Daphnia pulex: one gene and its partner. The protein of the gene in region 2 interacts with the protein of the main gene of each other region in a pairwise test. Links are inferred from orthologs where the notes say so. Each region holds a gene or a part of one and is shown on either strand. Other genes may lie near its edges.

Evidence for each region.
Region 1: the proteins of E3 ubiquitin-protein ligase Su(dx)-like (region 2) and ubiquitin-conjugating enzyme E2 L3 interact in binary tests that used the Caenorhabditis elegans proteins (3 or more experiments, as listed by UniProt). The link is inferred for Daphnia pulex from reciprocal best matches to the Caenorhabditis elegans genes wwp-1 and ubc-18.

What each region holds. Positions count from the first base shown.
Region 1 is NC_060017.1:3,016,626-3,020,736, reverse strand, and holds ubiquitin-conjugating enzyme E2 L3, read right to left. Parts: upstream 2,464-4,111; 5' UTR 2,289-2,463; coding exon 2,262-2,288; intron 2,163-2,261; coding exon 2,067-2,162; intron 1,996-2,066; coding exon 1,867-1,995; intron 1,745-1,866; coding exon 1,532-1,744; 3' UTR 1,315-1,531; downstream 1-1,314. Other genes in the region: replication protein A 70 kDa DNA-binding subunit-like, read left to right, coding at 40-174, 235-498, 557-640, 703-772, 841-965, 1,030-1,137. UniProt on the Caenorhabditis elegans protein: Ubiquitin-conjugating enzyme E2. Accepts ubiquitin from the E1 complex and catalyzes its covalent attachment to other proteins. Required for diet restriction-mediated lifespan extension, probably acting as part of a complex with ubiquitin-protein ligase wwp-1.
Region 2 is NC_060026.1:2,733,087-2,738,462, forward strand, and holds the start of E3 ubiquitin-protein ligase Su(dx)-like, read left to right. Parts: upstream 1-2,270; 5' UTR 2,271-2,622; intron 2,623-2,703; 5' UTR 2,704-2,809; coding exon 2,810-2,903; intron 2,904-2,967; coding exon 2,968-3,112; intron 3,113-3,173; coding exon 3,174-3,330; intron 3,331-3,401; coding exon 3,402-3,550; intron 3,551-3,629; coding exon 3,630-3,953; intron 3,954-4,020; coding exon 4,021-4,176; intron 4,177-4,239; coding exon 4,240-4,348; intron 4,349-4,424; coding exon 4,425-4,591; intron 4,592-4,671; coding exon 4,672-4,800; intron 4,801-4,931; coding exon 4,932-5,174; intron 5,175-5,283; coding exon 5,284-5,376. Other genes in the region: carcinine transporter-like, read left to right, coding at 18-219; alanyl-tRNA editing protein Aarsd1-B-like, read right to left, coding at 310-433, 509-600, 672-812, 886-952, 1,014-1,144, 1,216-1,332, 1,395-1,513, 1,591-1,843 and 2 more. UniProt on the Caenorhabditis elegans protein: E3 ubiquitin-protein ligase which accepts ubiquitin from an E2 ubiquitin-conjugating enzyme in the form of a thioester and then directly transfers the ubiquitin to targeted substrates. Ubiquitinates klf-1.

The DNA of each region.
Region 1 (4,111 bases), on a different chromosome or scaffold from region 2:
GAGCCCAGTTAATTAATCATTCTTGTCTTCAAACATCAGGTTAATTTGACTTTATGGGGAAAAATGGGCGAGGAATTTGACGCTAGCTCCCAGCCTGTTGTAGCATTAAAAGGAGTGAAACTTTCTGATTTTGGAGGTCGTTCTCTAGGAACAGTCTCGTCTACTGTCGTGCAGGTAAAATCAAATGTAAGACTTTCTATTTCTCTACTATTCTACAGCGCATATTTTTAATAGATCAATCCTGACATGAATGAAGCTCACAAACTAAGAGGGTGGTACGATAACGGTGGCTCATCATCGGCCGCTTCTAGCATTTCGGCGAGTCGTGGCGCTGGCACTGGTGGTAGTGGTGGGTCGTATAAGACTTTCGCTGAAGCAAAATTCGAAAACCTGGGAAAAGATAAACCTGATTTCTACAGTGTTAAGGCTATGGTTGCTATGATCAACAAAGAAAGAGCGTTGTACATGGCTTGTCCCAGTGATGAATGCAACAAAAAGGTAAACATAAATATATAATAAAACAACTCATTTTTGACAATATTTGCGTTTCCCGCAGGTCATCGATCAAAACAATGGCCTCTATCGATGTGAGAAATGCCAGCGCGAATTCCAGGAATTCAAATGGCGCATGATGCTTTCGGTATGACAAAGATATTTTATGAAATCTATTTCTCTCAAAACAGCACTCGAAATTTGTTATAGGTCAATATCGCGGATGCCACGGACCAGCAATGGGTAACCTGCTTCCAAGAAACCGCTGAAACTCTTCTTGGTAATTTTGTTTTCGAACTAATGTTACGTTTAGCATATAATATTTATTTATTTGATTATAAATTTTAGGGAAATCCGCAGACGAGGTCGGTAGATTGAAGGATTCGGATAATAACGAATTTCAGAAAATTTTCGAAGAAGCTACTTTTAAGTGGTATGTCTTCCGCCTGAGAGTGAAAATGGAGACGTACAATGTAAGTCTATGAGCATTATGAATTTCGATCTTGTTATCTGTTGACGCTTTTACCTTTTCTTTAGGATGAAAGCCGCCTCAAAACAAATGTCTATGAAGTGAAGGAAATCAACTATAAAGAGCACAACGAGCGATTGATTCGAGAAATGAAAGAAATGGCTGCATCAGAATGAATGGATTTTCCCTTGCTCCTTATCTATTAAACTTATAAAAAACCTTCATTTTCGGATTATACAGGAACAATTCTTTATGAATTCCTGTTCTTGTGAATCAAATCGAGATCCCGGAAAAACCGTGTGTGTAACATGATAATAAATGATTTGCAAAATAAACATGGATATTACAAAAAATAATTTTTCAGACAACTGCAAATGTATTGTTTTTCGCAGCTCATGTGCAATGAAATATTTCAACCATCAAGAGAGGCAAAGATAGAAATGAAAATAAATGAAGATCACAGTGCAGCTCTCACTGCTCTACAATGAAGTGAAGAGGGAAAGAGGGGGGACCAGTTCAAAATTTTAACTCTGCCTCTTCTCAAGTGTTTATGATGAAAACAGAAAACATTTAATCACTTGGTCTCTTCTCACTGTTTTTTTTTGTAAACTCTTCTGCATTCTTCATGAATTTCTTTTTGTCTTTGGAATACTCTTCAGCAAGATCAGCCCTAAGTGGATGTTCAGGCTCTGGATCATTAACCAAGGCAACCAGCGCTTGTATCACTTGATCAGTTTTGGTGGCAGGCTTCCAGTTTTCAGCACTTATTATGGGCAAACAGACCTGAAAGAAATAAACACACAATAATAAGTATGGCAAAAATTCCAAAAGGCAAATGTTTTTAAGACCTAACAGAAATTGCCAGACAAATAAGATATTTACAAGGTTAACATTGAAATTTTTACCTGTCCCTTTTCATCAATATTTGGATGATAGATTTTTGTCTTGAACGCAATTTTTGGTGGTTTGAATGGATACTCAGCAGGGAAATTTATTTCAATCCGAAAAGCTCCTTTATTGTAGGGAGCATTTTCCTATGAAAAATATATGATGGCTTGTAACCAAGGTAATTCAATCAATATTCATCTAAAAAATTCAGACTCACAGGAACAATAAGTCCATGCCAAGTCAAAATGTTTTGTTCATCAACTTGAATGTCGCGAAAAGATTTCAACCCAGACTTCTTGATGTCTTCCAATTCCTTTGACCACACAGAGAATACATTAAATGTTTATACAGATGAATTATTATCACTACAGATTATGAATTTGTGATGCAATATAGATAACTTTCAACTCACCTTGTGAAGTCTTCTAGTTGCCGCCATTTCAATTTAATCAATCAATCAATTACTGAAATATTACTCTACTTAGCGATTTATTGAAATTATTTACTACTAATATCTGAAGTTACTTCCACAAAAGAGCTGCTGTGAACGGCTGCTTGCCTGCTTGCAAACTTGTGTTGGCCTCGTAGATTTCAAGGCCATACACAAAGCACGTAAGTTAAAGTACCGCATACAGAGCCATCTTAAGTGAAAAAATGTTTCCTGAAATACGATTTTTTCAAAATTGGAATAACCAAACAAAAGCGCATGCGCGTAATATTTTGCTGTGCACAGTTCAGACTTCAGAGTAAGGTAAAAAAAAATCTTGTCTTTCTGTCATTTAAATAAAGAGCCGTAATAACAACATCAAATAAAGAGATAAAAATGCGAAAAATTAATCTTTTGGCAAAAATTCGGAAGCACTATTTGCAACATAAATTTTGCAATACGCGAAGTACATTTGTTTTTATATTTAGGTCACAAATTAAAGCTGCTGTTTGTCTGCCTGATCTAGTCCAAGAGCTTTTTTTTATTTGATTACTTATTGTGTACGTAGGTTATCCTATGGTGGTGACTAGTCATTTAGTCGATCTTCGAAAATAACGATAAGCGAATTCATGATATACAGTTCAACCCGCAATCATACGCATATAAGGGAATCATTGTCGTTTCGGAAACGGCGGTGTTTCTTAACTTGAAATCTATAATTTTGTGGCTGAACTATTAACAGATGTGGCTAAAGTGAAATAAAGTGGCAAGAGTCGTAGTTATTGCGGGAAGAAAAACAAATGTCACGTCCGTATGTGTACGTGTCACAAATGTGATGAGGTTTGACTTTTTGGAAACTAAAAATCTGGGTGAACGAAGATACGGTATCTTTCTTATTGTGCTAGCGGTGCTAGATTCTGTGAAATTTTACGGGATTCTTAAGAGATTCCGAATCAAAGTTTCACCCAAATTTCGCTACTAGGGGCATCACTGGAATGTGCGAAGATTTAGAATTTTTCAGATTCTACGAGATGCTACAAGATCCTGAATCAAAGGTTCGCCAAATTTGGCTAGGGCCTAGGGGTGCCAATAAAAAAATGCGGTTTGCGCCTGCTAACGGTGAGAAAAAGGTAAATTTTGTTAAATTCTAGAGATTATGTGAAATTCTCCCAGATTTCGAAGATTCTGAGAGTTGCCAATCTGGCAATCGCTCGGGGCCTCGGCCGAATTTAAAATGCATTCTAAAAATCAAAATTCATCGTGCAAAAAATTTAAATTAATTTATTCTTATTTAGATAAGACTAAGCACGTTTAAAAAGTGTTGCCTTCGGTATTTTCAATAAAATTAATTCGGGATTTTTGTAGTATTTACATTTTGTGCCTTTGGGCTTTGGACTCATCATCGTCTGTTCAGGTCTGTCAAAGAACAGCCGGCAATCCAAACGACAACATTTCGAATTAAATTGCATAAAATTGTTTTTCTAGGAAATAAAATAAAAAATAACGTAGTAAGTAATATTTTTATAAATCTCTATTTCACAAGTGACGTGGCTGCAATTGAATAAAATATATTTTTAAGAGAACAAATTATAATCTGGCATTGCAGCCGCAATGATCGACAACGTAAAAAAATCGATTTATATTATAGCGAGAAAAACTAAGAAAAGAAAAACCCGGTGTGTCGTCTTTTCACGATACTTTCTATCCTATCAACGGTAATTTACGAGGTATTTTATCATTACTGGATTATGTGTCGCAGCGTGATCGAGTCATTGTCATAACTAGACTCTTGTGTCGAATTCAATTACATCTAAAGATTGAGGTGTGAAGCAAAA
Region 2 (5,376 bases):
TTTCCATCCAATAAAAGGGCTGACGAGTCAATTGAAATGCATGAAATGTCGGGACCCGTCGACAATGAAGAGACGCCTCTTCGAGTGGAGAACACTACCCCTTTGTCGACACCCCTGGCGAATCGAAAATCAATGCGCAAGCTTCTAGTCCACCGAATGAGCTCGCTAGAGCTACCAGTCGACAAATCCGGATTAGTTAAATTACATTATTGGTATTAACTCGTTTCGTCTGTATTCACATCACTCTTATTGCCAGGCTTTGAAAGGTTCAAGTACAAAATTGAGTTAATTGCACCGATGTCTTGTTTCTCACTGGAAGTAATCACGAAGGATCGTTTCCGCCTCTTGCCGTGCTGATGGATTGAGTTGCGTAACCTTGGCTTGAAATCTTTTACCCTTGCCGGCGCCTTTTCCGGCTAAACAACTGCAAATTCTAAAACCAAATATTTGCGAGTTAGTTTTAAAAAGTTTGTTCCGATAAGGAGATCTCTGTCGCAATGGAACGTACTTTGGACCAAGAGAGCTGACCACATCCTCTTGACCAATAAGAGTCATTTGCCCGTTGTTATCTTCTCCCACAGTAATAAGTAATGTGATGTCCTAAAGAGAGAATATTAAAAAGAAAATTTTAATGTTAAATAAGGACAATTAAAAACTAATAATCTAGATACCTCAGAAGCCAGTTCTGAAATTAGAGCACTTGCATAATCGGCATCGCCGTCTTTGCGGTGAACAATCGAAAATTTCGGTTTCTCGGTTTTAATTTTCTCTGCCTGATTGACAGCTAATTCTTTCATCAAAGTTTGCAAAGTCTTAAAAGAAAAGAAAATTTTTAAATTAATCTACAGTCGATTAGGATACGGAGAAGTTCAAAAGTTGTTTTACCTTTTGTGATAACTTTACTGAGGCTTGTAATTTATTAGCTAAATCGACATGATCTTCAGGTCCGTTTCTGAAACGAGCAAATGAGTTAATCACTTGTCATTTCAACAATTATTTTAAGCATTTCATACTTCAGAATTTTAGTCAACTGGCGCTCCCTGTCAAGTGAACGATTGATGTAATCTAGCACTCGATTTCCACTTATAAAGAAGAGGTTGGTCTTATTTTTTTTACCCTTTTCAGCATAAAGCAGCTTTATGAACTAAATGAAGTATTTTAATCGATGGTTAATTATTGCTTGTACTATTGGGGGTAGTAAACTGCGTACAATACCTGTAAATGACTAAGGTTGGAAACGTGAGTTCCACAACACATGTTGCTGTCTACACCTAAAATAGTTACGACGCGAACAGGACCAACGTGGTCATCGGGAAGACCTCTAGAACGGACCTACGAACCCAATATGGTTTTCTTTAATTTAACTTTAATGTCAATTAAAGTAAAATTCTTACTTGGTCGGGTATCGCATCTCCTTCGTATACTTTTACTTCCACAGAGACAGCTTCCCTGATTTTCTCATTCACTTGGCTTTCAATGGTTTTTAGTTGGGCATCAGTCAGATTTACAGTATCTTGTAATTTAATATTAAGTGTCAATCAATGATGCTACAGAAAATTCTGAACACAAAGTTAAGAAGGAAAAATTTACCTAATTCAATATGGGAAACAGATTCCCCAAGCCACCAAGATGTTGTTTTGAAACCAAATGAAGCATCAGCAATTGCAGTGATTAGATGCTGCCCAGAGTGTTGCTGCATATGATCCCACCTTCTCTCCCAATCAATGACACCTGTAGCTAGAGTCCCAACATCCAGGCTGTCTTGTAAAAAATGGATGGCATCCTTCCCTCTTCTTTTGACTTGAAAGACAGGGATTCCGTTCAAGAAGCCTCTGTCATCAGGCTTTTGACATTTGAATTTTTAAAACCAATTCTATATGAGGATGTGTAATTTAACGTAAAAATTACCTGGCCTCCACCTTCAGGAAAAAAAACGGTATCTTCCAATAAGACTTCAAATGCTTGTACTTTCTCCTTTTTCCCCTGGACGAGCCTCTCGATCTGACACGGCGAACAAGAGACGACTTTGCTCGTAAACTACGAAACACCATACTGATCATTAATAGGATAAGAAAATACAAATACCAAAAAGGAAAATTTATTGAACCTCTTTCTTGTACGGTGATTTTTGACATTCAAAGACCATCGTAGACTTTTGGCAAATTTTGCACTGTTGTTATTTTTTTTTTCTTTCTAGCAGACAAAAATACAATCCATCTGTTGGCAATATTTACAACTTTGAAGAAAACACTAAGAGAAGAAATTGGCAACAGTGTTTTAAGCCAAGAAAAAATGGTGACTTATTGCAAAGACTTGTAGTCTTGTACTTGTGTTTTGTGTGTTTGCTATAATTGCAGCTATAATTTTATCTCGTTCAACGGGAAATACCACCAGAGTTTCTAATCTTTATACTGCCTGCTTGTATTTCGGTTTATTGACATTTTAAAGAGATAATTTTACTTTCGCGCTAATACTCAACTGAGCCCTGTAGGTGTATTTTTTTGCTGTTTTCACTTCACAGTGACATTTTTCTAAAGTCCTAAAGCCTGGTTGTTATAAAGATTATAAATTAATTTCAACACCGAAACATCATTCATGTTCCATGTAGCAGTGTGGATGCAGGTTAGTGGTTTGCATAGCAAAATCTTTATCAGTGATGACGTCAAAAATCAGTACTCATCTTATCTCTTAAATTTTTTACAGGTTCCTGTTCTGATTATGGGCTTTGATAGTATTGAAAACACCAGATCAGTTTAGTATCTGGTGTAGTTCTGAACTACAGCAACGTCCAAGGTCTGACCTCCATGAAATGGCTGAAACTGTTGCAGCTGTTGTAACCAGTTCCAATAGCGCAAGCTCTAGGAACAACAATGACTCCCACTTTCATCAACTAAATCTCTCAGGTTCAATGCAATTGATATTTAATCTTTACATTGGAAAAGTTCTAATCTGATTTATGCAATATAGTTCTAAAGGCCACTGTTGACCCAGTTTGCATAACAAAAAAGCCTTCACCATATGTTGAAATCTTGGTTGATGGGAAAGTGGTTTGGAAAACTGAGGCTGTGAAGAACACACATGATCCCACTTGGTCTTGTGAATCCTTTACTGTGTATGTACAGTTGCTATGATTCAGCACATTTGCAAGTGTCTTATCTTATTTATTTTTCTAGTCTTGTGAAAATCAATTCAAAATGTCTACTGAGGCTCTACAGTCATTCAACTTTCAAGCGAGATTTGGTTCTAGGAGAAGGCAGAATAGATATCCAAAAACAACTAGTACGAGAACAAGGGAAATTTGATAAAACCAGTCTTGTTCTGGATGTTAAGGTAAGCCTCATACTTGATTACTAGAAAAACACAAAACAAACAAAATTATTCAATATTTCTGGCATCAATAGGGAGAAATAAAGAATACTAGCATTGCATCAACGACAGAAGCAGCTAACGGTCGCAGCTCTAAAGTGAAGATTGGAGAAATTTTTATTGTGATGGACGGAATGAGGGTAGATCCAAAATTGTTGACAGGCAGTAGTCGAAGCGCAACGAGGTAATAATGTGCAGCGTTCAAATGGAAGCGAGCGATTCATCATTATAAATCTGTGTGCTCCCATTTTTTTAATCATCAGAGTGAACGGAGAAACAGGTGAATCCAGCTCAACCGCTGAGATCCGGACGAACGGTGCAGCAGTAGCTCCTGTCACGAATTTGACCACGGGCGAAAATGGTGGCGGAGCTCGTCCTCGTACCCGATCGAATGATGTTGAAGCCGCCCCCATTCCAGCAGTAGTAACTGGTGTTCCATCCAGGACACCCAACGGAACACCGCAGCAGACGCCGTCCAGGACTCCCAACGGGACAGTGGCAGCACCGGCTCCGAGGACTGAAACTACCCCAGCCACGACAGCACCTCCGGCTGCTCCACCTGGCCCCGAAGAACCTCTTCCGCCAGGGTGAGTTGATGCTGTTGTTGTATCACATCCATTTGAAATGTAACTGACGTTATTTTGTCTTCATTAGATGGGAAGTCCGTTTCGATAAATACAACCGGCGCTACTACGTCGATCATAACACGCGGAGTACGACGTGGGAGCGCCCGCAGCCTCTTCCGGCCGGATGGGAGATGAGAAGAGACCCTCGTGGTCGAGCCTACTACGTGGATCACAACACTCGATCGTAAGTTTATTTAATGGTTTCAACTTTTTCAATTAAATTAATTCGTATTTGTAAATTAACCAGGACGACATGGCAAAGACCGAATGTTGAACGTCTGCAACATTACGAACAGTGGCAAGGCCAGCGAGCGCATGTTGTTCAACAGTGCAGCCAGAGATTCCTATTTCCACAGGTAGTTGATTCATTGATCATTGAGCTAATCGTGACGTCACTTGCATTGATGTTGTTGTTGTTTTTTTCCTAACTAGGGTGGAGGAGTCAGCACCGGAACGGCGGTGGTGACGGGTACGGAAGAGAGCGATCCGCTTGGACCTTTGCCAGAAGGCTGGGAGAAACGTGTCGAGCCTAATGGCAGGGTCTACTTTGTCAACCACAAGAATCGCACCACACAGTGGGAGGATCCGAGAACCCAGGGGTGTGTCTCTCACTTGTCAATTCATCGAAATCCCTCAATCAATCTATATCTCATTTCTTTCTTTCTCTGATTCATTTCAGGATGAACCAAGAAGATCCTTTGCCTCCCGGCTGGGAAATGCGAATCACGGACGATGGTGTTCATTATTTTGTGGATCACAATACCCGGACGACCACCTTCCAAGATCCTAGACCAGGCGCAACTAAAGGGTATGATTATGTTGTCCATCATTACTGCCACAACGTGTTCTATCCAGCTCGCCCGCTACTTGAAAGTGCTTTTATTGCTTTGTGTGTGTTAATTGCTTGTGTTTTTTTTTTCCTCATTGCGCTGGACGCAGTCCGAAAGGTGCCTATGGCGTTCCCATCGCTTACGAGCGCTCATTCCGCTGGAAGCTATCTCAATTCCGCTATCTGTGTCAGAGTAATGCCTTACCATCACACATCAAGATCACTCTCAACCGGTCGACGCTCTTTGAAGATTCGCACCATCAGATTATGCGCTTGCCCGCCTACGAGCTCCGCAGGCGGCTGTACGTCATTTTCCGCGGCGAGGAGGGCCTTGATTACGGAGGAGTGGCTAGGTAAAATTATTATTAATTAAATACCCCCTTTGCGTCCCTTGAAGTGTGCGCTAATTGGACACTGAAGAGGAAACTGATTTTTCTATTCATTTTTTTTTTGTTTTGACAGGGAATGGTTTCTCTTGCTGTCACACGAAGTGCTAAATCCCATGTACTGCCTCTTTGAATACGCCAACAAGAATAACTACAGCCTTCAGATCAA